Rattus norvegicus: one gene and its partners. The protein of the gene in region 3 binds, or shares a complex with, the protein of the main gene of each other region. Links are inferred from orthologs where the notes say so. Each region holds a gene or a part of one and is shown on either strand. Other genes may lie near its edges. The genes, in order: Mbtd1, Ruvbl2, Trrap, Meaf6, Anp32e, Smarca4 and Taf4.

Region 1 (3,500 bases), on a different chromosome or scaffold from region 3:
TTATGTTAATAGGCAGACAAACCCTACACACTTATGCGTGTGAAACCCCTCACTCTCCTTCCCAACCTTAAGGTTCTCATGTAGCCCAGGTGAGCCTTGAACTTGCTTTGGAATTGAGAATAACATTGAATTCCTAATCTTTCTCCTCTGCTTGTTGAACGCTGGGATTACAGCCATGTTGTCTCCATGCTTGGCTAAAACCACTGTTTGACTTCAATGTCTTAGATACTTATGAAACCTTACTCAAGCTCTTGTCCAACACAAAGTAAGACAGTTTAAGTAAGCCTGTTAAATTCTCTTTACAGAAAGTTGAGTAGACACACCTGCCTTAGTTAATTTAGGGACATGAAATTCACATGTGAATTCTCCGGAATCGTGTTTGAATCCGCAGACCACACTCTGATTGTGAATGGTCTAGCAGTACTCCCCAAGCACGTGTAGGTGAACAACTGTATTATCAAGCTCCTGATGGGCAAAGTAATCTTGGGTCTGTGGGAGGTTTTGCCCACAGAGGAAAGTGCTATGCATGCCTATGCAGGTCACCATGAGTTGAAGCTGATAGGCTTAAAAAAAAAGATCTATATCTATATCTATATCTCTCTCTCTATATATATATCTGCCTGCACGAATGCCTGCATGTCAGAGGCTATCAGACCCCATTTTAGACGGTTGTAAGCTACCATGTGGTTGCTGGGTCCTGAACTCAGGACCTCTGGAAAAGCAAGACAGTGCTATTAACTGCTGAGCCACCTCTCCAGCCACAGATCTTTTTCTCACTCTGCTGTGTCTGCTGTGATATACCGTTGTATGTGGGAATGTGTTCATTTGGAGACTTATCATTCTTCACTTTACTGGATTTATTTTTGAGACAGGTTTATTCTCTGTGTAGTTCTGGCTGTTCTGTAATTTGCTCTGTAGACCAGGCTGGTTTCTATAATCTGAATGTTGGGACCAAAGGAGTGTGCCACCACATTAAGCCTCCACTTTTTCATTTTACCTGAGCTATCTCATCAGCAGTCCTTCTTAATAAACGTGAATTTCTCAGGATTATCATTCCAGATAAGAGTTGATATGATAGCTACTGTAAGCAAACACTGCTTTTTTTTGCTTCATTAAATAAAGTTTTAAAAAAGGAATTAACTTTAAGTAGGTTTATAATTATTTCAAGAATCACTATAAGGCTCTATTCTTTAGCTGTGTGCTTGAAACACAGCTAAAGAATACCTGATTGTTTCTCCTGTTAATTAAAACTGTTTCTTACATCAAGAAGGTTTGCCTTTTATGTCATACTGCACCTTTAAGCATAATACATAATGAACAAACATCAGCTCTCACAGGGATGTAATTTTCTGTGCAAGAGTACTGTGACCTTAATTGCTTAACAGTTAGACAATGTATGCAGACGCATGGTGACCCACTTTTCTTATGTCCTTTGTACTGCTGGGACTTAGCCTTTTTCTTCTGTTTTGAAGAAGCTGACTGGCTTTCTCTTGATGCTGAAAAATAAAAGGGAAAATTGGTAACAGAGAATGGCTAGACAATTCTTTACGAAGATCGTCATCCCTTAAGAATGCTTTTAAAGGGTGTATTTGGTCTTACAAAACCATGAATGAGCCTTGTCTGGTGGAGGCAGAGCATGCTTTTAATCCCAGCACTCCCAAGGCAGAGACAGGCGGATCTCTGAGTTTGTGATCAGCCTGGTCTACAGAATGAGCTCCAGGACAGCCAGGGCTACACAGAGAAACCCTGACTCAAAAAACCAAAACCTAAAAAAAAAAAAAAAAAAACAAAAACAAAAAACCAAAAAACCCTCATGTACCTCACTATTTACGCAACAGCACTTATGAACAATGCATTTCCAGCCTACAGTATGCAGTTCAACCACAGTGTAGTTTAATTTGGTGACTTGTGGTTTTCTCAATTTACTGCTATGTAACTGATATGGAGTTCACACTGCCGTGGCACACACAGTCTAATTCTGTGATAGTATTGGGTCTTAGTATTTTACCTGGCAACTCATCAGACATTGATATATTCTTGTGCTGTGAGCTTACGAGGTGATTTATAAGGGACAGCCCTCTGGGGGATTAGTTGGTTTTTAGAAAAGAACATGTTCTCTGTACAGTAACTTACACTGTGATGCTGGAGGCTGTAGTTGATATCCAGTTAACTGGCACCACCCTACAGGATAGAGGTCAGGGGACTCACAGTCTACCCACTGGTCATATTCTTCTTCCCATCCATCAAAATGTATCCTCAAGAGACGATGAATAATTCGTGTAACTGTGGCCACACATATTAAACGTGGTTCCATGAGATCTACAGCTTCTAATTTCATTCCCACGCGGAATCCGTGATTTGGAACATCCTAACACAGAGAAATCCAGTATCAGTGCGATGCTCAGAAGGACACAAACCAGACATCTGAAGTAATTTCCCAAAGCTCACAACAGTTCCGCAGCTGTGCCACCATACGGCACAAGCACCCTCCTTTACACTTAAAAAAGAAAGAAAGACTTGCTTCTCTAAAGAAAACACTTAGTTTCCTTTGTTGATTTTCATTAGGAAATTCTAATATAAGCCGAAGAAGTTCAACCCAAGAGTAACTGCACTCGTACGTCACGGCCAGGCCCCACTCAACCTTACCTTATTAAACAGTTTTACTGGCGCTGCAATGGAGCCGGTTTCCCTGAGGTAGTCAAACCATTTAAAAGGAAGTTTTGTGTAACCTAAAAAATACAACCGGTTTAGGTAACAGTACATTTAAAATTAGCATAACCTTAAAATGTCAGTAACTCAGTACATGAAATTTCAGATTTTAGGTGGTAATGGTAATTTCTTCTCATTCTATTTTTTTTTTTAAAAAATATATTATTTTTGAGATTGGGGTCTCAAATAGCTCAGGCCAGTCTCAAACACGCTATGCAGTAGAAGGTAAACGGCTTCTCCCAAGTCCTTTTGTCTCCACCTCCAAGTATGGGATTGAGGATGTCCTACGTTACTTGGTGGTGTTCAGAGCTTCCGGTACCATATTACAAAGAAGCCCCTGTGCAGACACACGTATATGTCTCCTTATCTTAATGCAAAAGCGACTCTTGTTTACTCCAAGGACAGACTTCAGCGCGCGCGTGTGCGTGCGTGTGTGAGACTGGGGATCTATCGATGGCCTCATGCTAGGCAAGCGCCCCTACCACCGAGAGCTACGACTTCTTGCAGCACTAGGTTTAGAACAGTCTAACACTTAATACTCTTTCTTTGTTCAGGAAACTAAAGTAGCTGAATTATACTTTCAACAAATCTTTGCTTTAACCCCATCTTAGAGAAAAACCCAAGGTAAAGGCACTGAAATTAAAGGTCACTGGTCAATCCATGAGAGTTGCAAGGACAAAGAATGGTTAGCTGGGTGTAGTTGTCACACCTTTAATGGAACACTCTGGAGGCAGAGGCAGGAAGATAGCTATGGTTTATATAGTAAGTTCCAGACCAGCTAAAAATATAGA
Region 2 (3,734 bases), on a different chromosome or scaffold from region 3:
CACCTGGGCAGGGATCACAGCTACTGTGGGGGCAGGACCAGGTGGGCATTCTGCCTAGAATGGCTGCAGGGGGTGGGGAGGGGGCGCAGCACAGGGGAGGGACACTCAGATGAGGACTTTCTCCACCCTGCACTCAGGTTCGAGTACTGCCAGCTGCCTTGCCTCCCGTGCCTCAGCCAGTGTGCACCTACCGTGAGCTGCGCTTCGCCTCTGTCCGCCTCCCTGGCTGCCCACCTGGTGTAGACCCCATAGTCTCCTTTCCTGTGGCCCTCAGCTGCCGCTGTGGGCCCTGCCGTCTCAGTAGCTCTGACTGTGGGGGTCCCAGGACTCAACCAATGACCTGTGACCTTCCCCACCTCCCCGGCCTTCTCCTCTTCTGATGCCCACCCACTAACTCCCCATTCTTCTGGAGCCAGCAGGTGTTCTAACCATCCCTCCCAATAAAGGCTTTACAACTGCACTCCGATGTCCTTTTGTGTGATCTGAGGATACAGCAGAACTCCAGTTTTCAATAATTTTATACAAAGTCACAGTGTTAGAACTTGTAGAAAACAGGCTGGGAAGGGTTGGGGTGCAGTGTCAGCTCAGGAGGTGTCCATTGTTTCACCTTCTGCAGAGAGGGGAAGCCAAATGTGAGGGAGCTCCTGGGTGCTCCCATGCAGCCCCTCCCACAGTGGCAGCAGCCTGGGATACTCACTGAGCTCATTGAAGAGGAAGGCGTCCTGGTATTCCTTCATGTACTGTGTGGAGCGGGATTCATCCAGGAAGAGGGAGTATACGCGCTTGATGTCGTCCACCTGCACCTCCGTGCCCTGAGAGCAGGTGGGGCTCAGCTGATGTCAGCACGGGGCCACCCCCACCACTAGGTTTTTTTCTCTAAAATGCCCGGGCACCGGCTGTGGTTCTTAGTCCCCACTAAATATCCATGTACCATGGCTCAAGGGCTACCCCAGGGCCACCCCTCAGTCCTCCAGGCTAACTCGCTGGCTGACCTTTCGTTTCCGGCACACCAGGCTGGCCGCTGTGATGAGCTGGATGGCGTAGCGCAGGGAGGTCTCGAGCCCAATGCGGGTCAGCACTGTGTAGGCGTCCTCACTCATCTCCACATCTTCCTCCTCACAGCTGTGGGAAGGCAGGCCAAAACGGCAGGCATATCACCCACCCATCCCATAATATGCATGGATACTGGGGTCTCGGAACCACGGATGGTGAGGCTAAAAGAGCCACGGGCACAGGAGGGCCTCCCACCCCATCTTTCCCGACTCAGTGTGGGGCAGATGCCACACCGGATACGTAGGATCTGTTTGGTGTCCTTCTCACTGTAGGGCGATGTTGACACAATGAGCAGCCGGTCTAGCAGGTCAATGGGGATGCCGTGGGGACTTTGGTAGCTGGTGCCTCGGATCCTGGGGGTCAGGGAAAACTGTTAATGGATGCTTTTCAAAAACATACGTGCCACCATAGCCCACTTGGGAACTCAGTAACTGTGAGCACTGGCTCTCATCCCCAGTAACACACTTCTCGGCAGCTGTGCACACTAGCGGCTGTCCTGTGCCCTGCTGCCCTGGCAAACCCAGTTCCTGGTGAGCAATGGGACCCATGGCAGTTTGTTCCAGGCATGGGAGCTTAGCCATCGATATGAGAGTACTGTTCTCCAGGGGCTGGCTCAGGACAGCTGCCAGATCTAACCTACCACTCATGGACTTTCAGGGACTGGGGAATTGCAGTGAACATCAACTAGCAAAGGGGACCTTAGGGCTGCCTCCCCTCCCCCCTGCTACCTTCACATCTATGGCCTTGGGCAAGCTGCTCAGCTTTGCTGATCTACTCTGTGAAGTGGGAGTAGTGGGGAGAATGAAGTGCAGGCAAGGTAGCCAGGTCCCAGCCTCTTAGGGCTGTGTGCCATCCGCCTTCACCACAGCTACACCTAACTGCAGTTGCAGGGGGCCTGAAAACTTGTGTCATCTGTGGGTACCACATGCATGTGTACACACACACAGACACACACATAAAAGTAAGTCAGAGAAGAAAGAGGGGCTGGAGGGATGGTTAGAATACATACTGTTCTTACAGAGGAGCCCAGGGAGAGTCCCAGGACCTGCACCAGGCAGCTCACAACTGCTTCTAAGTCTAGCTGCAGGGGACCTGCCATACTATTTTGGATTCTGCCCACACCTACATTCATACCTGCATATACTGCCTCCCCCACATTCAAACAACAACAACAACAACAACAACAACAACAACAACAACAAAGACGCCATGCTAAAAACACGAGACAAGGTGATGTGCTTGATGAAGTCATGAGCCATCGTCAGGAAAAGTCTGGCTATCCAAACCAGTTTGTATACTCTCTTATCTACAAAGGGTCTCATGAAGCCCAGGTTGACCTAGAACTGAGTCCTTTCTCAGCCTCCATATTACCAGGACTGTGGTTGGAGCTGACATGCCCAGTGTCCACAGTGTCTTTAGGTCAATACATGTGGTCTGTGACGATTAAGTGGCGGGGTCTGAGTGACGGACTGATCACAGCAGTTTGTGACATATCTAATAGATAGCCCCGTGCTCAGCATAGGGTAAACTTCCCAGGGCCCTTTGGGTGCCTGCTCCAACAAGTTTAAATCCAACTTGAAGAGATTTTCTATCTGTCCAGGATTGTGAGGACCACACTGGAGGCAAGCTGAGTAAGGAGAGGAACTCAGCAGATGGTCATTCACCTTGAGGCCACCATCAACCCCTGGCCCAGAGTGCCCTTGCTGCAGAGGCCTCTAAAGCTGCTCACCGGGTGATGCCTCGGTTGGTGGCCATGATAAGAACAGGCGCCATGTCACTCTCCAGGGCCCGGTTTAGGAAAGAGAAACTCTCAATGTCCAGCATGTGGACCTCATCGATGAACAGCACCTGGAAGCCATTAGGGCACAGATCAAGCTCTCTCCACCTGGTACCTCAGGGCTAACCATACCCTCCTGGGCTGCGGCCACTCACCCCAGGGATGATCTCCGCTTTGCCCTCCTCCCTCCACTCTGCCACCTTGGCATTGATCTGTTCTCGGACTTCTGACTTGATCTCCCCTGTGTCTCCTGCCAGAGATGGGGGTGTCAGTTAGAATTAGAGATTGAGCCCAGGACCGGGGTGGGTGAAGAGAGAGACAGAGGAGCACTGGGGAGGAGGGCTCTGGGCTGCAGCAGCAGGGCCAGAAAGGACAGAGGGAGTGACCCGAGGGAGGACTCGAGGGCAGTGTAGGGAAGGACACACTCAGACGGGGAACAGAGACAAGCAGCAAGTCTGTAAAGAAAGCTAACAGCGCCAAGAAAGAGGCAGAAAAGCTGGGGGTGGGGGTGAGCCACGCTGAGGGAGACAAAGGATGTACCAGAGCATTCAAGGTGTTGGGGGAAGGGCAGCTGACCTGAGAAGAGAGCCAAGAAGCCCTGAGTGCGGGAGTTGATGACGTCAATCTCATGGAGGGACACGGTGTGCACCACCTCCTTGCGTTTTTGCAGCTCTCCGTCTGGGCACTGCACAAACTTGGTCTACAGGGTCAACGGCAGGTGTGAGGGCAGCCAGGACACAGCCTGGAGCCCCACACTGGGAGGTAACCCAGCATCCAACCCCATGACATAACAGAAGATGGAGAAACACTCCAGTGCTGGGTTGGGGATGAGCCAAGCACCTGGGAGCCCATGGCATCATAGTCTCGGGCACGTGTGAAAGAGCGGCCCAGCTTGGAAATCTTG
Region 3 (3,500 bases):
CCCAAGACTGCCCACCTAGGGATGGTGCCACCCACAGTGGGCTGGGCTCTCCTGTTAATTAGCAATGAAGAATATACCCTATAGATGTGACCAGAGGCCAATCCGACAATTCTTCATTGAGTTTCCTTCTTGTCAGGTGACTTTCTAGATCAGCTACTGACAGTAGCTTCTTGGCAAGAGTATTTTCTTTTAAGGCAGAAGTTCTCAACCTGTGGGTCATGACCCCTTCAGGGTTAAGAACCCTTGCTGTAGATTATGTCAAGTCAACAGTAATAAACTAACCAGGAAAATACCTAGCAAACACCAGCCGAAACACCAGCCAGAGCACAAATGATCATCAGCTTGTTCACACGCTAAATGGTGTTTGCTACTCAAAATTTACAATGTACCATGCATGGCAGTGCAACACATAGGAGGCAGAGGCAGGTGGATCTGTGAGTTCCAGGTCACCCACAGCTACCTAGTGAGACTACCTCACATGTTAGCTAATAGGTTAATTAATGTTCTATATGTTATGACCACTCTATGCATAAACAATACTGTCTGGGTTATTAAATTGTGCAGGCTGATCATTGACCTCTATACCTTTTCAGGAGTGCATGAGCACACTTAACCAAAAAATTCCAAAAATGTTAAAAATTTGTTCTTTTTTTATTAAAGCAACCTAAGGACTTTCAAACTTACTGGCCATTCTAAATCCAGGAAGTGAGGAGAGCCCAGCAGACCTGCACTTAATTAGAGTCCTAGTACAGGTGATCCAGTCCCTAGCAATCGCACCAAGCAGGCCTGTGTCCGTCTAGCAAGGCTGTACCTGAGCGTCTCCCGAGCCGTGTACCCAGAGCCTATCAGGATAGATTCATCAAACAGCTTGTCCATGCAGGGGATGAACTCTAGGAAACAGAAGAACATTAAAGACCTCACAAGCCTTCCCCAGTGCTCAGGGCAGAGAAAAGACAGCAAAGACCCTGTGAGGTGAGATGCTGCTTCTACTGGGCCACACAAGCCGCCTGCCCACGAAGACAGTCCGGGTAATGTTCAGTGTTAGAGAACTGACCAAGACTGACTAGAGAGATGGCACAATCGTACCAAAGGCAGAAGAGAACTGACCTCTTGGATATGGATGACAAGCCCACGGGACAGTTAGATTCTGGAACAAACCTGACATACAGCCAGCTTAGTTCTAAAGTCAAGTACATCTCAGGCCTCTGGCCTCCTGCGGGCACCTGAACTCGTGTGCAAACCCTCACCCCAGCACACGCACAGACAATTAATAAAAATATGTCTTCAAAGAGGGCTGGCGGGGTATGATGGCCCACACCTTTAGTATCTTAGCACTCAGAAGGCAGATCTCAGAGTTTGAGCCAGCCTGGTCTACAGATGGCTCCAGAACAACCAGGGCTACACAGAGAAAACCTGTCTTGAAAACATAAGTGGGCTAGAGAGTTGGCTCAGTAAAGACTTAGTTCGATTCCCAACACCCACATGACAGCTCTGAAGTGTCTCAAACTCCAGTCTCGGGGATCTGACACCCTCTTCTGGTCTCTGCAGACAAAAGGCACATGTGTGGTGCACAGTTGTACAAAGACACAAGTAAAACACACACATCCATACACGAGCGAGCAAACAAATGAAAATTAAAAATTGAAGACCCAAGGCTGCAATAATGAAGGACCAGACATGCTAAGACCCTGTAGAAATTCTAGGAAGTCAGCAAGCCTTGCTCCAAAGATGGCCCAGGCTACACAGGCCTTGGGAGAAAAGGCGGCCTTACGGTTTCTTAGCTCCGTGGTGAGGATGTGCTTGGCAGCGATGAGAAGCTCCTTCCGGAGGTGTGCGGTCTCCGCTGGACAGTTGGAAAGCAGCTGTAGCATGCCTTTCACCATCTGCTGAGAATACTTTGTCACCAGCTCCTGTCACAGCAAGGAAGACCACAGTCACACTGTGTCTGAGAGGCTGCAGAGACACCCAAGCTCTTTATGCAGCACCGAGCCTAAGTGAGCACCGCCAGAAAGGTTTTAGTGTGTACGTGCGTGTGCAGTCATGCAGCAGTCATTCTGAAAGGGAAGTGTGCCCACAGGGACAGATGGCCTCCCACGTAGACTAAGTGTGGGCACGACACTCTTATTGTTCTATTGCTTTACAAATTTCAACACTGAATTTGCATTACCTCCTTGGAAGAAAGAAAATAAATGCTTAAAGCGCCTGTTTAAAAAAAATATTCAGGGGTTGGGGATTTAGCTCAGTGGTAGAGCGCTTGCCTAGCAAACGCAAGGCCCTGGGTTCGGTCCCCAGCTCCGAAAGAAAAAAAAAAAAAAGAAAGAAAGTAAAAAAAATATTCAGTGCTAGAAAGACAGCTTGGTTGGGGCTGGAGAGATGGCTCAGTGGTTAAGAATACCGACTGCCCTTCCAGAGGTCCTGAGTTCAATTCCCAGCACCCACATGGTGGCTCACAACCATCTGTAATGAGAGCTCATGCCTTCTTCTGGTATATCTGAGACAGTGACAGGGCTCACATACCTTTAAAGAGACAGCTTGGTGGTTAAGGGTACTTGTTGCTCTTCCAGAGGGGACCCCCACCCTGTCCTTCACCTTCCAGTGCCCATGACAGGTGGTTCACAACCACCTGTAACTCCAGATCCATAAGATCCAATGCCCTTTTCTGGCTTCCATAGGCAAGTGTTCGTTCACATGCACAAGTGCGCAGGTATACACACACACACACACACACACACACACACACACACACACACACACACCTCTACACACCTTTTTAAAATAAGTAAATGCCAGGCATAATAGCTTACACCTTTAAATCCATCACTCAGGAGGCAGAGGCAGGAAGCATCCTGGTCTACCTAGCAAGTTCCAGGCCAGCCATGGCTACACAGTAACAGCTTGTCTCAAAAACAAACAAACAAACAAACAAACAAACAAACCCATCCATCCATCCATCCATCCATCCACCCTCCCTCCCTCCCTCCCTCCCTCCCTCCCTCCCTCCCTCCCTCCCTCTACTTAGTCGCCCCACTAACGTGAGCTGAGCATGGTGACTTCTGAGCAGCTCTAAACAACCTCTTCCTGACTCAAACACCAAGGCCCAAAAACTCCACTCATGATGGCAAATGCCCACGAGCCAGCACTCTGGAAGCTCATGGGCCAAAGGTCAGCCTGGACCACACAGTGAGACTTCATCTCATAAAGAGAGTCTGCAGAAGACTAACCGATCAATGAGCTCTGGGTTTGACTTAAGAGACCTGCCTCAGAAAGAGAAGGCAAAGAGCAAAGGAGGAAGATTCCCTGCACACATGAGCCTTCACTTCTTCTTTTTTTTTTTTTTTTTTTTCTATTTTTCGGAGCTGGGGACCGAACCCAGGGCCTTGCGCTTGCTAGGCAAGCGCTCTACCACTGAGCTAACTCCCCAACCCCGTGCCTTCACTTCTAACACACATGCACCACATACTCACACACATGCACGCACACACGCACACACAAATACGTGA
Region 4 (4,225 bases), on a different chromosome or scaffold from region 3:
GTCCCCAGCTCCGAAAAAAAGAATCACAAAAAAAAAAAAAAGGAGTAGCAAAGCATTGTGGGGCCAACCGAGAGGATCTAAAGGAATCGGTGTCAATTTTTAAGCTATAGGTGTCAATTTTATAGCTATATATTACATGCCGAGATGTCTTGCCGTTTTCAAGAAGTAACTGCTAATGTACGTAGAAGCAAAGATTGGTAGTGTAAGCGTCTAAGTCTTTGATGGTTAGCAGGGAGGGAAAGCACAGGGAAACAGAAATGCAACCACAGAGGAGGAACATGGAGGAGATACGTGATGGCAGAATGGGTCTGCATCTTTATACGCACACTAACCGGAGGGCAGCTCTCCACCGCTGGCCCCTGCTTTCTACCTTGTTATTTGGACAGCACTGCATACTTCTGAGTAGCTGACCTGCAAGCTTCCAAGTCATTTTCCTGTCCCCACCTCCCACCACAGTGTGCTAAAATTCCAGATGTGCATTTACATGTGTGTTAAATGGTGGGGGAGTGCCTGTAAGCACAGGAGACAGAGTCTGATCCCCTGGGGATGGAGTTACAGGTAGTTGTAAGGCACCTGACAGGGGTGCTGGGAATCGAACTCTTGTCCTCTGCTGGAGCAGGGTGTGCTCTTAACCGCTGAGCCATCTCTCCTGCTGCCAGATGTGCACCTTTTTAACACGGGTACTGGAAACTGAGCTCTGGTCATCAGGCTTGTGCACTGGGCTCTTTTATTCACTGAGCAACGTCTCCTGGGCCTAGTTTTACATCTCGTAGTTCTACACATATGATAAAATGCCACACACCTGTGCGTACGCAGTAGCCAATTGTGGTTCCCTGATTTTGACGATGTTCTATAGTTATGTAAAATGTAACCATCAGAGAAAACTGTAAGAACACACAAGCCCTGTGTACTGTTTTGGCAGCTTCCTATCCCAATCTGCAATTATTTCAAAACAAAAGGTTCTTAAGCATGCACGGATGTCTTCATACACTGATGTCTTCATACACTGGAGAGAGAGTGTGCACCCACAGTAAATTAGCAACTCATGAATATGTGGGAAAATGACTAGTCATATGCTATCTCATCTCAAGTTTTCTACAGATTTGAAAAATTCTCCCCAGTTACGGGTTATTTTCTTATAGAATCACATTACCAGGTCAATAGTGGTACAATTAGCTTAGAGATATGACAAAGATGGTAATTGGATATCATGGTTGATTAACATGTGGAAGACAGTTAAGTCACACGCTGTATTTCATTTACACCTACACACCCCTGTACCCTGGGCCCTGTTTTCTTTAATCACAAATATGGTTTCTCTATGAGACAGTCAGAGCACAACTGCAAGCTTCGACCTCATTCCACACTACAGCTTTATCATCTCATTGCAGAGTAAATACCAAAAGCAAACACCCCAAGCTCTACATGACAGTCCATACCTTTAAATCCATCAGTCAGGAGTTAGAGGGAGAAGGAGCTATGTAATCTGTGAATCTGAGGCCAGCTTGGTCTACTTAGTGAGTTCCAGGCTGGCCAAGGCTACATAGTAAGACCATATTTTAAAACAAAACAAAACAAAAAAAAAAAAAAACCTACAGGTAAATATTAGCAGAGGATAAAACGGGTAGATACTACTAGATTTTGACACTCACTTTTGATTTGTCAAATACCGATCCCAGCCACGGATAATATTGCCATACATCTGAGTGTCTTCCAGGTAGCTTCCTTCAAAAGCATAGATCTGTCTCTCCAAGTTTGCAAGCGTTTCCTAGGTGAAAACAGGGGCAGGGAAAAGCAAGCATTAAGCAAACGGAAATCCCAATATGGACTTGTAAAGTCAAGCTTACCCACAATGAACCGGGTTTTTTTGTTTTTGTTTTTTTTGTTTTGTTTTGGTTTTTGGTTTTTTGTTTTTTTTTTTTTTTTTTTTGTGGAAGAGTGCGGGTGATGGACCCCTTTATAAATAGAATGGAGTGTGTAGTCTATCTTCAGAAAATGCACGCACATGCAAGATTTTGCACCTACTTCAGAGGCAAAACCTAGCTGTCATGAGCAGGGATGAGACAGATCGTGAGCTGTCTCCATTCTCACTCACTAAATGTGTTGCCACCAGCAGCGAGAAGGGTGAACAGCTTTTCTAAAGCATCTTTTCTACATCAACTGCTTCCTCCTTGCTAGCTCTGGAAAGGCCGCCCGCAGTGGATGCCGGTTGCTATGGAAACCTGGAAGGGCAGCTTCAGGTGAGCTTTGCCTCCCGGATGCTCGTTGCAAAAGGCGGGAGCCTGGAGGGCTCAGCCAGCAGGGTGCCGGCGGCTCCTGGTGCGCGTCACCAGTCCAAATTCCCTAGGCTGCGTTCTGCGTCTCCCGCCAGCCTCTTTCCTTGGCATCCTCAAACACACCCCATTCCCCGGCCATTGAAACGCGCCGCCTATAGAATCCATCGTGCATCTTCTCCAGGCCAGGGTCTAGCCGCCTCCTTCCCACCCGCTAACCCGACCTGAGCGTCGTCCCCGCCTCCTGCCTCTCGCCCTTCCCGCGCCCTCACCGCCCCGCCCCGCCCCACAGAGCGCAGGCCGGGAACCGCGCCGCCGCAGGGAACCGCGCCGCGCCCGGCCGCCTAGAGCGCCCGGACCCCGGCTGCCCGCCGTCCTGGCTCCCTGAGCTGCCTGCGAGGCCATGCGGGGACGGCGTCCAGGCCTCGGCCACTCACCGCCAGCTCCTGCTTCCGCTTCACCAGCTCGGCCAGCTCCCGCCGGGTGTCTGGGATCTGCGGCGGCGCCGTCTTGTTGTGCATCGCCATGTTGGGCTCAAGCGGCGGCGGAGGCGGCGGCGCGCGACCAGTAGGCGGACCCTGCGCACTGCCGCCGCCGGCCGCCAGGGGGCGCGCCCCCATATCGCGCCTGCGCGCGCGGCTTCCGGGGAAGCTGGCAGGCTCAGCGCGCGAAAGCCGGCGCGGAGTGGTACTGGTTCGTGTGGGACATTCCTTGCTCCTCCGCTGCGGGCCTCTGAGCTTAACAGACACCCACAGACGTTCACTGCATCGAGAACCCAGCTGCAGCATAGGCCTGTTAAATGTCCCTTGTGTCTCCCCGCCGATGTCCCTGCCACACCAGCCAACTGCAGGTGGTAAACCTGAGCAAGGTCCCGCCCCACCATCCGGGCTGCAGAGAAGATCCCAAAACCAACCTTTTCCTGGGTTTAGCACAGGCAAGCAGATCTCCTGTTGTACACGGTTTGACGGAGGGGAAGGAGTATGAAAGAATTTGCTTTTATCTTCAGATCCAGAACTGTATCTAGGCTAGTATTGAACAGAAACACAGACCTTGAGTTTATCGTCCTGCCTCTGCCTCCCCACTGCTGGTTTGCACGTGTTGAGCTTGCCCACTGTTAATTGGTGCTGGGGATGGAACTCAGGACAGACGAAGCAAGCACTCTACCGCTACACCCTTAGCCCCTCTCTGCATTTCTCAGTGCTCTGCAACTTCACTAGGAGGGTAGGTGGCATTCTTTGCCCCATGTGTGGATGTCCTTGAGTTTCTATGCCCTAGGTGGCTATTGCTCAACAGGTCTGAGAAATTCTCAGTTTTCTTCGAATCCTCTTTCCTAATTTTCCCTCACACAAATCTCTCCACTTCTCTCATGTTCCCCTCCAATAGTGCATACCTATAATTCTAGCACCCAAAAGACAGAGGTAAGAGGCTTAGGAAAGTCAAGGAACTACATAGTGTGTGGGCTAGCCTGGGCTACATAAGACCCAGTCTCTCACAAAAAAAAAAAAAAAAAAAAAAAAAGTCAATGGCTGGAGATAGAACTAGACCCCAGTTGGTAAACTGTCTGCCTAAGCCTAAGCCTGCACAAATCCCTGGATTCGAATCTAGCACCCCTTCCTTTCGTGCCATCCTGGCTCACATAAGAACCTCCCAGGGCCAGGCATGGTGGCACATGCCTTTATTCCCAGCACTCAGGAGACAAAGGGCAGACAGATCTCTGTGATTTCGAAGACAGCCAGGATAGCCAGAGCTGTAGAGTGAGACCGTTTTGAGGGGGAAAAAAAAAATCAAGGCCAGACTCAACTAAACAGAATTTGAGGCTAGCCTGGGCTTAAAAAAAAAAAAAGATCAGATCCTGGAAAATTTTATTTTTATGTATATGAGTGTTTTGCCTGCATGTATGTCTGTGTGTACATATGCATGTAATTCCCAAGAAAACCAGAAGACATCAGATC
Region 5 (2,566 bases), on a different chromosome or scaffold from region 3:
TTCACTTGCTCGAAACTGAGAGAGATGGCTGAGGTACAGGTGAAAGCCCAGGGGTGTCTGCAGCTTTGCCAGCTGTCTGTTGGATGCGGACAGGAATGAAGCAATGAAGGTGACAGAAGAGGAGCAGCTGGGAGGGGATGCACACCTGAACCCCACAGCCCGCTCAGTCACCCACAGAGGGGGCTCCACAGCAAGTCTGGACTGAGAAAAGACAGAGCCCTGAACTATCTATGGCTCCGCAGGACTGAGCCCATGACCTGCCTTCTGAAGAGAGAACCCTGATTCTGCCTCTAATTTCCAAACTGTGACAGGAACGTCCTCAGATACCCTCGCCCCACCCCAAAAACTGCCTTCACGCTGATGATCTCTGGATCGCCTCTAAAAAAACAAAACAAAATCCAGCTTTATAATTCAAGACTACTGCCAATTCATATTACAGCTAAGTGTAATTCGTTAATTTATAAATAACTTTAAAACATTATGAATGAAATGCACCAAACTACACCTGTGTAAAAGCAACCATGTTTTAATTATGGGCTAAAAATGTCTAATACATTAAGCATGAATTATAAAAATCCAGAATCTAAATACAATGCTAGAGAATTTCACCATGGGAAGATGAAGGAGAATTCTTTTCTAAGTACATTATGATTAACAGACTAGCAAATCTTATCCGGAATGGTAAGGCCAAAATAGTAAAACCACACTTTTCCTATAAAAAGTTACACATCATCTCCTACTGGGACAGCTATCATACATAAAGAAACACAGACAATGTGACCGCCCTACTGCACGACCGGGAGTGTCAGGCAGCCTCTCCTTGGAGGGTCTAATCATCATCTTCCTCCCCGTCATCTTCAGCATCTCGCTTTCTTTTCTCTCCCCGAGGACCCTCTTCTTCTAAAATGGAAATATATAAGACACTCAATTTTAACAATTGAGTTTTTGTTATTTTACAAAGCTTTTAATCTTAGTAAAACATGAATGTCATGAGAAGGTATAAGCTGTTTCCACTCTGGAATTTCTTCCAATTTCAGAATATAAGGGACTTCAGAGAACCTGACGCTACAAAAAAGAGATGCTCACAAACCAACCACAACTGCCAGGGCAATCAAGAGACCAAGTGCTTGGCGATGTGACGCCTTTAGGTAGACACGATTCTTTAGGACTAGGTAAAGAGGACACTAAAGGGACATCGGTGTCCAGCCATTCTTCTCTGTGCTGGGGCTTTATGCTCTGCAAGTCAGATTCCAGGGTGCAAATAAACTTTCACTTCATTTCTCTTGGTCTGTGTGTGTTTCAAGAGGATTTCTCTGCATAACCCTTGCTGTCCTCAAAATCAGAGATTCCGCTGCCTCTGCCTCCCAAATGCTGAGATCAAAGGCGTGGGTGACCATGCCTGATTTTCCCTTGCATCCTTCCACGTGGTTGCTGGGAACTGAACTCGGGGCCTCGGGAAGAGCAGCCAGTACTCTTAACCACTGAGTCATCTTTCCAGCCCCTTGTTTCTGTCTTTAAGTACAGGTTACAAATTGTTTTTGTTGTTGTTTTGGCCGAATTAAATTACTCTTTCAAAATGCTTCTCTACATGTCTAGGCATATTATGATAAACAAAATTAAAGGCTCAGGGGCCAGGGCAATCCCCACCAGACTCAGTATCTGTTATCTTTAGATTCAGAATGTGCTTATGGAGAATACAACTCACCCTCTTCTTCCTCTTCCTCCCCTTCATCAACGTAATCATCATCGTCTTCTTCATCCTTCAAAGTCAATGTGAGAATGAATAAACATTACATGGACTGCTACTGTTTAACAAGGGCAATGAAATCACAGTTTAGCTGTGTCTCAAAGGACAGTTTCTGCCTCCTTTGCTCTTGAAGATAACAAATCACCCAGACTTTTATAAACACAGGCTGTGCCTTGGACTACCACAGTTCAAGAGAACGTTCTCCAACATGCAGATGCTCTCTGTGCGTGGTACCAGCGTGCTGGTGAGTACTGGAAATGCAACAGCACCAATGAGGGAGTTGCGGTCACAGTTTGTACAACTGCTTGTTTGCTTGACACAGGATCTCTTGATCCAGCCCAAGCTAACTCCTGAATGAACCGGCTCTGCCTTCCAAGTGCCGGGATTGCAGGCATACACCACATCCGCCCACGAGTTACCATGGCAAAACAGGCTTTACCACTTTAAAATAGGCCACTCTAAAGACTGAGGCACAGATGGTCTGAACCCTAACATCAAATATGGTTCTGGTTATATGTTGACTATAAAAATGTATTTCTCTAGACCTGCCATGCTCCAGGTAACATGGGGCACCACCGTGAGGGCACACTTAGCACATCTTTACTCCCAGAACCCAGGCATCCACCTGTCTTCACTTCTCCATGGCTGAGCTTATGATCATACGACATTATGCAGCTTCTGTGTCGTTTCTGAAGACTTGGTTTCTCTGTGGAGCACTGGCTGTGATTAAAGACACCCACCAGATTTTTTTTTTAATGGATCCTTTGACTTGAATCAAGATCTTTGCTAGATAGCCCCTTGATCACTTTTATGACTATG
Region 6 (4,300 bases), on a different chromosome or scaffold from region 3:
CATCTGCTACCAATATGATGACCTGCAATTCAATCTCCAGGACACACGTGGTAGGAGAAAATCCACTCCTGAAAGTTGTCCTCTGACCTCCATATATCACACAAAATTAAACAAAAATTTTTAAGTTCAAAAAAAAAAAAAAAAAAAAAAAACCACCTTTCACATCCAGCCACAAACAAACCACCAAACCAGGACCCCAGACTTCACCAGTGACTTCATCACTTTCAAAGCAGTGACATCTGGGGCTAGAAGAGCAATGGCCTGGAAAGTTCAAGGCCAAACAGCAGCAACAAATATTTATTGCTTTGGATCTTGTACCAATCGCCCAAGTTCATCCTCCCCAGGACCCTCCTGTCCTGTCTCACTACTGCCTGCTCCAACTGCACTGTTGCAGACCAGACAGACAGAGCAACAGTTCTGCAGGCACCATTCCATTCTCAGCGTGTGGGGTGGGGAGACACATCTTCCCTAATTGTAAATGAAGGGTCCTCCTCCATGCAGCTTCTAGACTTATGCCCACCACTGCTCCCTCAGGCAACCACTCTGTCCTGTCACATGATAGGTTGTGAGGCTAAATGATTGGGGAGAATATATCATGTCTAACATGCAGAAGGCCATGGATTCCAGGCCCAACAACACCCAAAATGAACAAACAACAACAAAAATATCCCACATTCATAAAAATAAAAAGATCAAAACCATGCTTGGGTACTGGCTTGTGGTAGAACATTTCCCTAGCATGTACAGGATCAACTTTGATCAGCACCACAAAAATTCAACACACTTAGAGCTTAGGCAGGAGAAACGAATCAACAGGTAAAGTACCCCACAGAAAACTGACCACCTGAGTTCAATCCCAGGAACCCACATGATAGAGGGGAGAACTGACCCCTGAAAGTTGTTCTCTGACCTCCACACACAAATAAATAAGGAACTGCAACACTTTAATGAATCCCAGCACTCCCGGAGGCGGAGGCAGAGGCAGAGAGATCTCTGAGTTCAGCTAGAAGCCAGCCTGGTCTACAAAGCAAGTACCAGGAGAGTCAGGGCTACACAGAGAAACCCTGACTCATAAAATAAACAAATAAAATCTATTTAATTAAAAAACAAAACAAAACACAAATGGGCCCAACGGCATGGCTAAGCAAGAGTTTAATCCCAGCACTCAGAGGGCAGAGGCAGGCAGAGCTGTGTGAGTTTGAGGCCAGCCTGATAACAGAGTTTCAGGACAACCAAAGCTACACAGTGAGACCAGAAAGGGGGAGGGGAGGAGGTCAAAACAAACCAAGTACTTCTTTATGAACCAATACTCATGCAGGCCAAGGAGTAATGGTTCCATTACAGCCCATTCCCCTACTAAGACATGTAACACAAAGTAGGAATTCAACTATCTGCTGGACCAGTCAATAACAGTACAGGAAGCCTGGCTGAATATGCTATCCCAGCACTTGGGAGGTGGATGGAGGCAGGAAGATGAGGATGAGCAATTCAAGCCCAGCCTGGTCTACATAAGAAGGTGGAGGGCAGCCTTGGTTATAAGATCCTGTCTTCAAAATCAGAATGATGATGATGATGCAGGAGCTATTTTTTCCCAATCCTATCAGTGAAAGTGATTCCCTTGTACAAAGGAGGAAACCAAGAGGTTTGGAGAGATTTAGCGATTTCGCCTAAGGCCACACAGCTAGCTGACAGACAACGCTGGGCATCAAACTCAAAGCCTGTCTGTCAATTCAAACAAAAAATTTGTTTCCAGTTCCTGAGGAGTCACTGGAGGTAAAGAGGATCAAGAAGATGCCCCTCCGACCCGCACAAAACAATTGCCTTCGAGGTTTTAAAATAAAAAGCCCTATCTGAAAAACTGGGAAGAGCCAAGAGACTCAAAAGAAAAACAATGCGGCCGTGAGCAAACGTTCCCAGGCATCTTTCACTTTTTAGGCAAACATTTTGAAGCCACGGAAGAAATTTAAAATCTGCAATAATGAAATTTATCAAAAAGTAAAAAAAAAAAAAAAGTGAGGTCTGAGGACCGAAGAGGGCTCATGACTGTGCCCAAGCTACACAGGGCATCAATATCTGAGGTAAAATGTTGCTCCCGACGCCCGACCACAGGGCATTAGAATCGCACAAACGAGGCCAGAGAAGCCCAAGACACCTAGCCACTGTTCAAAGTTAAGATTCACAGAAATTAAAGTGGGGGGGACCTGGATCTCTGGAACGCCAAAAGGAAGGAGCTTTGTCCCAAGACCCCACGAGAACGCGCGCGCGGCCTTCACACAGGCCAGAGTCACCCGCCTCGCCGGCCACAGAGCCTGGAAGCAGCCGCGGTCTCGCTGCACTGCGGCCTGAGCAGCGCGCGCAAGGCTTCTTGACCCTCAGGCGCCGCCGTACCCCGACCCCGCTCTGGTCGCCCAGCTGCCCCCTCCCCCTCCCGGCGCCTCGGCTTCATTCAAACCGTCTTCCCCAAGCCCCGGGAGTCTCGTTCCGCCCGGGAGTCTCCATTCCTTACCTGGAGGTACCGGCGCCGTAACCTTCCTGGCGCCGCCCCCAACCCTCCACGAGGGGTCGGGGACAGAGTGGGCGTCTCGCTTCTCCTCACGAAACAAAGAAGCCGTCGCCGCCGCTGCCAAGCTAGTGGGAAAGCCTCGCGCGCGTGCCCGCTCGGCTTCGGCTGGCCGCCCCCCCCAGCACACACGCAGCCCGCGCGCCCGCTATGCGCGCCCCCGCCTCCCTTTCTACCCAGTCCACTTCCCCTGCTTCCGCTGCCCGTCCGGCCTCGTGCGCGCGCCAGCCCACCCTTCCGCTCTCTGTGCGCATGCTCAGCCATTCGTTGTGCGCATGCGCACTGGTCCTTTGAGGTAGTGAGAAGATGGGCGGGTCCAGAGGCCGCACGAGATCCTGGTGCACCGCCCATATTGGGGGGCTCTGGGCGGCTCTGCGCAAGCGCACACTTATGTTCAAGACACGAAATTGGGCCTCAAGCCGAAGGGCATGCGCAGAGGTGGCGGCACTGCGGCGACGCTTAGATGTTGGGGGAGGGTACTGGGTCGTCCAGATGGGAGATAGTAATGATGAAAGGGAAGTTCTTAGGCTCGGAAATGAGCACCCTGGGAGGAAAGTGAAGCCGAGAGGTGGCCAGACTGCCCAAGGACGGGACAGAACCCACGCGGGGGTAAGGGCAGGCCTGGGAAACGCTTTGATCCTGGCTCTGGCACGGCCCTGCCTGCTCTGCAAGGCTCTGTCCTGGCCACATTTCCTGCAGAACCTGTTGAGGCCCAGTAATTAGCTTTCCAAATATTTATTGAGCTGCCATCGGCTACTAGCCATCCTCTGGTTCATAAACCAGATGAATAAGTAAAAGCACAGGGTGTGAGGTAGAAACAGCAATGGTCACAATTTTCCTTATGATTTCGAAGAAAGCCATTAGCTTTGGAGAAATGAGCGTATAATTCTGTCCAAATGTGGAGATTCCAGGCCTCTGGTTGGTTTTAAAAGTATTTGGTGGTGGTTGGGGATTTAGCTCAGTGGTAGAGCGCTTGCTAGGTCCTGGGTTCGGTCCCCAGCTCCAAAAAAAAAAAAAGAAAAAAAAGTATTTGGTGGTAGCGGGGCAGGGTTCTGGAGGCAGAAGCAGGTGGATCTCTGGGGGGTTTTGTTTGTTTGTTTGTTTGTTTAAGATTTATTCATTTATTATGTATAAGTACACTGTAGCTGTCTTCAGATACACCAGAAGAGGGCATCGGATCTCTTTACAGATGGTTGTGAGGCACCATGTGGTTGCTGGGAATTGAACTCAGGACCTCTGGAAGAGCAGTCGGGGCTCTTAACCACTGAGCCATCTCTCCAGCCCCCAAGACCAAGTTTCTTTAAGACCTGGCACTTGCTCTCAAGACTAGACTGGCCTCGAACTCAGAGATCTTCCTTCTTCCTTCCTGAGTGCTGCATGAATGTACCAATCCAGCTTGGTCTTCTACATAGTAAGGTTTCAGGGCAGCCATGGATACAAAGTGAGACTTTTAAACAAAGAAACAAAAAGCAGTTTTCTGTCACAAAGTAGAACAAAGAATGTTTCAGGCCATTAAATAGCTGGCAGTGATCCCCCTGCCACTGCCTCCAAAATGCTAGGAAAACAGACCCAAGCTATCAACACTGGCAAACACATGGTATTTTTGGTTGGTTGGGGGGGTTTTTTGCTTTTGTTTTTCAGGACAGAGTTTGTCTGTGTTGCTTTGGCTGACCTGGAACTGGATCTTGAGACCAGGATGAACTCAAACTGAGACCTACCTGCCTCTGCCCCCCAAGTCTG
Region 7 (4,177 bases), on a different chromosome or scaffold from region 3:
CATGGGGCTGATGCAGACGTAGAGAAGTGCGAATGATGGACCTATTTACTTTTTCCCCAAGGAGTTACCTTCTGCTCAAACACCAACCCTGAACCTGACCTGAAAAAGGAGGCAGTTGTGATGGAGACGGCAGCCAATGCCCTTTGCAAATGGCATTGTCATTTCTCCCGGGGAGATGGACTTTACTTGTACGGCACTCAAAGGCAATGGAACCAGGGAAAGTCAAGACGCTATGGAAGGATGTCATGGCACCTGACTACGACAGCTTTCCTGATAAAAGGACAACATGGGCACATCCTTGCACTGGGGAGTCTATTCGAATAATAGACTACAAGCACAGAATGAATCTTAAACTATAACATCAGCCATATTTTCCACCCAAAGGTCAGAGTGAAGATAATGAACAAGACCTTTCAATCACACACACGCACGCGCACACACACACACACACACACACACACACACACACACACCCTGCCCCAGATGTGTGGCAAGAGACATCTGCAGCTCCTAGGCCTTATGTCACACCCAGCGCCTCCTCAGAGCATGGCAGCCCCTGCAACCTCACTAACTATTCTGGGTCCTGTATCCCCATAGATAGGGCAAGTATCTCTGAACCTTTTCGGAGCCTTCCTGGTCCTCACTGACCTCAGCAAAACTGAATTCTAAAGATGCTTTAGCTCTTTCAACGTGACCCAAACCACTTTTCAGAAAGCAGGGGGACACAGTAGCAGCATGTTTTCTAATTCTCTACTACTGCCACCGCGGTGGGCGGGCGGCGCTGCTACTACTGCTTGCACATGTCACTGTGTAACACGGGAGGAGCGGAGCGCTCAGTGCTCGCTCCGGCCCAGGGTTCAGTGGGAACACTTCTGCAGAGGACTCTCAAACAAAAGCAGTCTACAAGCGGGGAAAGGAGTCACTCATCAAACCCAAGGGCCCTGAGGAATTCGAGGACAACAGAGTCAGAGCCTACATGGAATCTGCAAGCTCTGAGACAGCTTCTGAGCCCCAGCATCCACATCTCCATGATCTCCTGCATCCGCAGACCCCTGCGCAGTGAGTGTCCTGCTGACCTCCAGGGATGGCAAAACAAAAACACTCAGGGTCCTCTTTCAGGCACCGATGACCACTAAACCCCTGCTCCCTGCATGGAGTCCCTAACCAGCTTCCCTGACAACAGGGAAGCCCACGCCTTCCACACAGACTTCACCATCCTGCCCCTGAGTTAGTTCGCCCTCTCTTGACCTCACCTGAGGAAGGAGAAAGAAGGGCCCCTCGACCACACAGTGGTAGCCCATAGCACCCCAACGGGACACCAGAGTTCCCTGAGGGCTCTGGAGCTCCAGGACTGGGAAGCCCTCAAAACTGTCAGGTCACCTGGGCAGAGGCCGCCCCTCGGCTTCGCGTGCCACCCTGCCAGGACACAGCCCCAGAATGCAGCCCAGAACTTCCTGGAACGCCAGGGCCGCCTGGTGCACCCGCCCTCGCCTCCCGCCGCGCGCTGCCACTCACCTGGGGGCAGCTGGAAGTTCTGGATGTTGGTCGGGTTCTGCGGCGGCTGCGGCAGGCGCGGGGCCAACACGGTGGGCGTCAGCGTGGCCCGGATAGCGCCGGTGGTGGCCGCCGGCGTCCGAGGCAGGCTGGGGGTCGCTGCGGCCGCGCCCTTCGCCAGCCCCGCGGGGGTCCCGGGAGCAGGCCCCGGCAGCGCGCCCGGCATGGCGGGCCCGAGCAGCACACCGCCCGCCGCGCCCCCGCCCGCGACCCCCCCCGCCGCCGCCGCCGCCGCCGCCGCCGGCCCCGGCCCGGGCCCCGGTCCGGGCTTGGGCGCCTCGGCCTTAGCCCCCTGCGCGCCCGCGCCCGGCTGGCCCAACCCCGCGGCGCCCCCGGAGGCCGCGGCGGGGGCAGGAGCGGCCCCGTTCTGCGCGGCGGCGGCGGCGGCGGCGGCGGCGGCAGCGGGTGACACGGGGGGCGCGGGCGCGGCGGGGTGCCCGGGCGGCCGGGCTGGCGCGACGGGCGCTGGAGGCGCGGGAGGCGGGGGCGCGGCGGGCGCGGGCGCGGCGGGCGGCGAGGGCGCGGCGGGCGCGGGGGCCGCCTGGATGACAGAGCCGGCGGCGGGCGGCGGCGCGGGCCCGTTGTTGACCGGGCTGACAGCAGGTGCGGCGTGCGGCGCGGTGGGCGGCGCGGCGCTCCCATTCAAAGTTTGCGCGGCGCCGGGGCCGGGCGGGCCAGGCGGGCCGGGCTTGGAGGCGCCGGGGCCGGCGGGCGGGGCGGCGGCGGCGGGATCCGGCCCCGCGGCGGCGGCAGCGGTGGCGGCGGCGGCGGCGACGGGGCAGGGCCCCGCGCTGGCCTCGGGCGGCGGCCTCAGCTTGGCGGGCGCCGGCGCGGGCCCTGCGGGGACAAGCAAGCGGCGCGGTGAGCTGGAGCCCGGGCGCCGCGGGCCCCCACCCGCCGGCCGCGCTCTACCTGCGGGGGGCGGCTCCGGCGCCGCTGCGGGCGCGCCCTCGGCGGAGGCGGCCGGCCCTGCGCCCGCGGCTCCGGCCGGGCTGCCGCTCACAACATGGTTCCCGAGCGCGCCGGCGGCCGCGGCCCGCAGCTCGGGCGTGCGCGGCGCGAGGTGGTGGTGGTGGGCCGCGCTGGCCGCCAGCTGCGACTCGAGCGAGCCCACCAGATCGCTCACCACTTTCTCGTCCACCTCGCTGTTGAAGAAGACCTCGTCCAGCAGATCCGAGCCCGCCGCCATCTTTCCTCCTCGCCGCCGCCGCCGCCGCCGCTCGGCCGAGCGCGCCTGGGCAGGAGGAGGTTCCAGCGGGGCGCGGGGCGGGCGGGGGGCGGTGCGCGGGGCGGGCGGGGGCGCGGCGCGCAGGGAGGGGGGAGGGGCGGCCTAGTGCGCAGGCGCTCCGACACGCACCGCCCCCGCCCGCGCCTCTGTGGCCTCTGATTGGCTGCGGCCGGCTCTTAAAAGACGCGGCCAATGGCTGCGAGCGCCAGAGGCCGGGGAGCAGGCGAGGTGTTGGGTGCTGGTCGGCTGTTAGAGCGCTGGTGGGAATGGCAGCCGGGCGGGGAGAGCGGCGGCGCTCGGTGCCGGGTGGGTCGCTGCAGCCGGCTGCGGGGTTCGCCCTTTGTCTGCACCCTTCCAAAATGGCTGCGGCCAGGGCGGGCGGCGACAGCTGCGCGGGCGCTCCCGGGGCCCCGGCGGTCAGTGAGGAGCAGGAGTCCTGGCAAGAAAACGCTTTCGGGGCGGAGAGGTGCGCAGAGGACGCCACGGACGCCACGGGTCAGCTCCTCTGACTTACAGCGGTTAGTAAGAGGGCCGTGCACACCGAAGCTGGACATCCGGAAGCTGATTTGTTCTTTATTTACTTTTCTCGTGGGGGAGGGGGTAGTAAATCCTCTAAACTGATGCTTGCAAGCACTTTGTGGGAACGTTTTCGTTACCATTTCGCCCCTTTCTTCCTGGGTGTTTTCTTAACCAAAAGGCCGTCTTATTGAACGTTGCTATGATTTCGTCTTTCCATTTTTTGAAAAGGCCCCAAAAACAAATTCCAGATGGCAAAGCTCCTTGTTGGGACCTCACTGCAACTGACCCTCCCAGAATCATCGTCACTTCTGAAGAGACTTGCCACAGTCCGCACAGATCCAGCACTGGGGAATGAGGAATGTGACATTGTAATTTTTTTTTCTTTCGTGCCTTGAAAGAGGCGTTTCCTACCAGCCCGTACTACCTATACACACCATCCCAGCACTTGGAAAGTGAAGGCAGATTAATAAGGAGTTCAACCTTGGTTATATATTTAGTTGGAGGCCAGCTTGGGGTCTCATGAGACACTTATATCAAAAAGGTGAGGTGAGGACTCTTCCTCTCTAAAGCAGGCTGCTCTCTAACTCTCAGCCTGTGTGCTGATCCTGTCCCAGCCTTTTAAACTAAGTGAGTTATAACTGCTATACAACAAACCCCACCCTACCCCAGCTGTTCTCTAAGCAATAGTCTATCTAAGGAACTGTACACGTTGAAACCCCCACCCCCACCCACCCCCAAAAAAACAAAACAAAACAAAACACAGTGCCCTCACTTGCAAAGTGTGCTAGGGAACCCTTAGACAACAGAAATTTTGTTCTTGAACATCAGCCTCCAGGTTTGGAAAGCCAGTAAAAAGGAGGAGACAATGAGAAAGCA

What was found.
Region 1: Trrap (region 3) and Mbtd1 share a complex: the UniProt entries of both Homo sapiens proteins name them as parts of the nuA4 histone acetyltransferase complex. The link is inferred for Rattus norvegicus from reciprocal best matches to the Homo sapiens genes TRRAP and MBTD1.
Region 2: Trrap (region 3) and Ruvbl2 share a complex: the UniProt entries of both Homo sapiens proteins name them as parts of the SWR1-like complex. The link is inferred for Rattus norvegicus from reciprocal best matches to the Homo sapiens genes TRRAP and RUVBL2.
Region 4: Trrap (region 3) and Meaf6 share a complex: the UniProt entries of both Homo sapiens proteins name them as parts of the nuA4 histone acetyltransferase complex. The link is inferred for Rattus norvegicus from reciprocal best matches to the Homo sapiens genes TRRAP and MEAF6.
Region 5: Trrap (region 3) and Anp32e share a complex: the UniProt entries of both Homo sapiens proteins name them as parts of the SWR1-like complex. The link is inferred for Rattus norvegicus from reciprocal best matches to the Homo sapiens genes TRRAP and ANP32E.
Region 6: Trrap (region 3) and Smarca4 share a complex: the UniProt entries of both Homo sapiens proteins name them as parts of the BAF53 complex. The link is inferred for Rattus norvegicus from reciprocal best matches to the Homo sapiens genes TRRAP and SMARCA4.
Region 7: Trrap (region 3) and Taf4 share a complex: the UniProt entries of both Homo sapiens proteins name them as parts of the TFTC-HAT complex. The link is inferred for Rattus norvegicus from reciprocal best matches to the Homo sapiens genes TRRAP and TAF4.

Annotation. Positions count from the first base shown.
Region 1 is NC_086028.1:79,377,759-79,381,258, reverse strand, and holds part of Mbtd1 (MBT domain-containing protein 1), read right to left. Parts: intron 2,730-3,500; coding exon 2,647-2,729; intron 2,369-2,646; coding exon 2,134-2,368; intron 1,497-2,133; coding exon 1,419-1,496; intron 1-1,418. UniProt on the Homo sapiens protein: Chromatin reader component of the NuA4 histone acetyltransferase complex, a multiprotein complex involved in transcriptional activation of select genes principally by acetylation of nucleosomal histones H4 and H2A.
Region 2 is NC_086019.1:105,037,987-105,041,720, forward strand, and holds the end of Ruvbl2 (ruvB-like 2), read right to left. Parts: coding exon 3,671-3,734; intron 3,531-3,670; coding exon 3,407-3,530; intron 3,081-3,406; coding exon 2,986-3,080; intron 2,902-2,985; coding exon 2,783-2,901; intron 1,407-2,782; coding exon 1,287-1,406; intron 1,123-1,286; coding exon 993-1,122; intron 813-992; coding exon 698-812; coding exon of another isoform or gene 611-697; coding exon 585-610; 3' UTR 501-584; downstream 1-500. Other genes in the region: Lhb (lutropin subunit beta isoform 1 precursor), read left to right, coding at 138-380. UniProt on the Homo sapiens protein: Possesses single-stranded DNA-stimulated ATPase and ATP-dependent DNA helicase (5' to 3') activity; hexamerization is thought to be critical for ATP hydrolysis and adjacent subunits in the ring-like structure contribute to the ATPase activity.
Region 3 is NC_086030.1:14,920,908-14,924,407, forward strand, and holds part of Trrap (transformation/transcription domain-associated protein), read right to left. Parts: intron 1,911-3,500; coding exon 1,772-1,910; intron 891-1,771; coding exon 812-890; intron 1-811. UniProt on the Homo sapiens protein: Adapter protein, which is found in various multiprotein chromatin complexes with histone acetyltransferase activity (HAT), which gives a specific tag for epigenetic transcription activation.
Region 4 is NC_086023.1:142,628,011-142,632,235, reverse strand, and holds the start of Meaf6 (chromatin modification-related protein MEAF6), read right to left. Parts: upstream 2,801-4,225; coding exon 2,711-2,800; intron 1,769-2,710; coding exon 1,653-1,768; intron 1-1,652.
Region 5 is NC_086020.1:186,174,158-186,176,723, reverse strand, and holds the end of Anp32e (acidic leucine-rich nuclear phosphoprotein 32 family member E), read right to left. Parts: intron 1,761-2,566; coding exon 1,706-1,760; intron 901-1,705; coding exon 830-900; 3' UTR 501-829; downstream 1-500. UniProt on the Homo sapiens protein: Histone chaperone that specifically mediates the genome-wide removal of histone H2A.Z/H2AZ1 from the nucleosome: removes H2A.Z/H2AZ1 from its normal sites of deposition, especially from enhancer and insulator regions.
Region 6 is NC_086026.1:28,442,319-28,446,618, reverse strand, and holds the start of Smarca4 (transcription activator BRG1), read right to left. Parts: upstream 2,801-4,300; 5' UTR 2,507-2,800; intron 2,368-2,506; exon of another isoform or gene 2,202-2,367; intron 2,105-2,201; exon of another isoform or gene 1-2,104. UniProt on the Homo sapiens protein: ATPase involved in transcriptional activation and repression of select genes by chromatin remodeling (alteration of DNA-nucleosome topology).
Region 7 is NC_086021.1:187,458,243-187,462,419, forward strand, and holds the start of Taf4 (transcription initiation factor TFIID subunit 4), read right to left. Parts: upstream 2,801-4,177; 5' UTR 2,744-2,800; coding exon 1,516-2,743; intron 1-1,515. UniProt on the Homo sapiens protein: The TFIID basal transcription factor complex plays a major role in the initiation of RNA polymerase II (Pol II)-dependent transcription.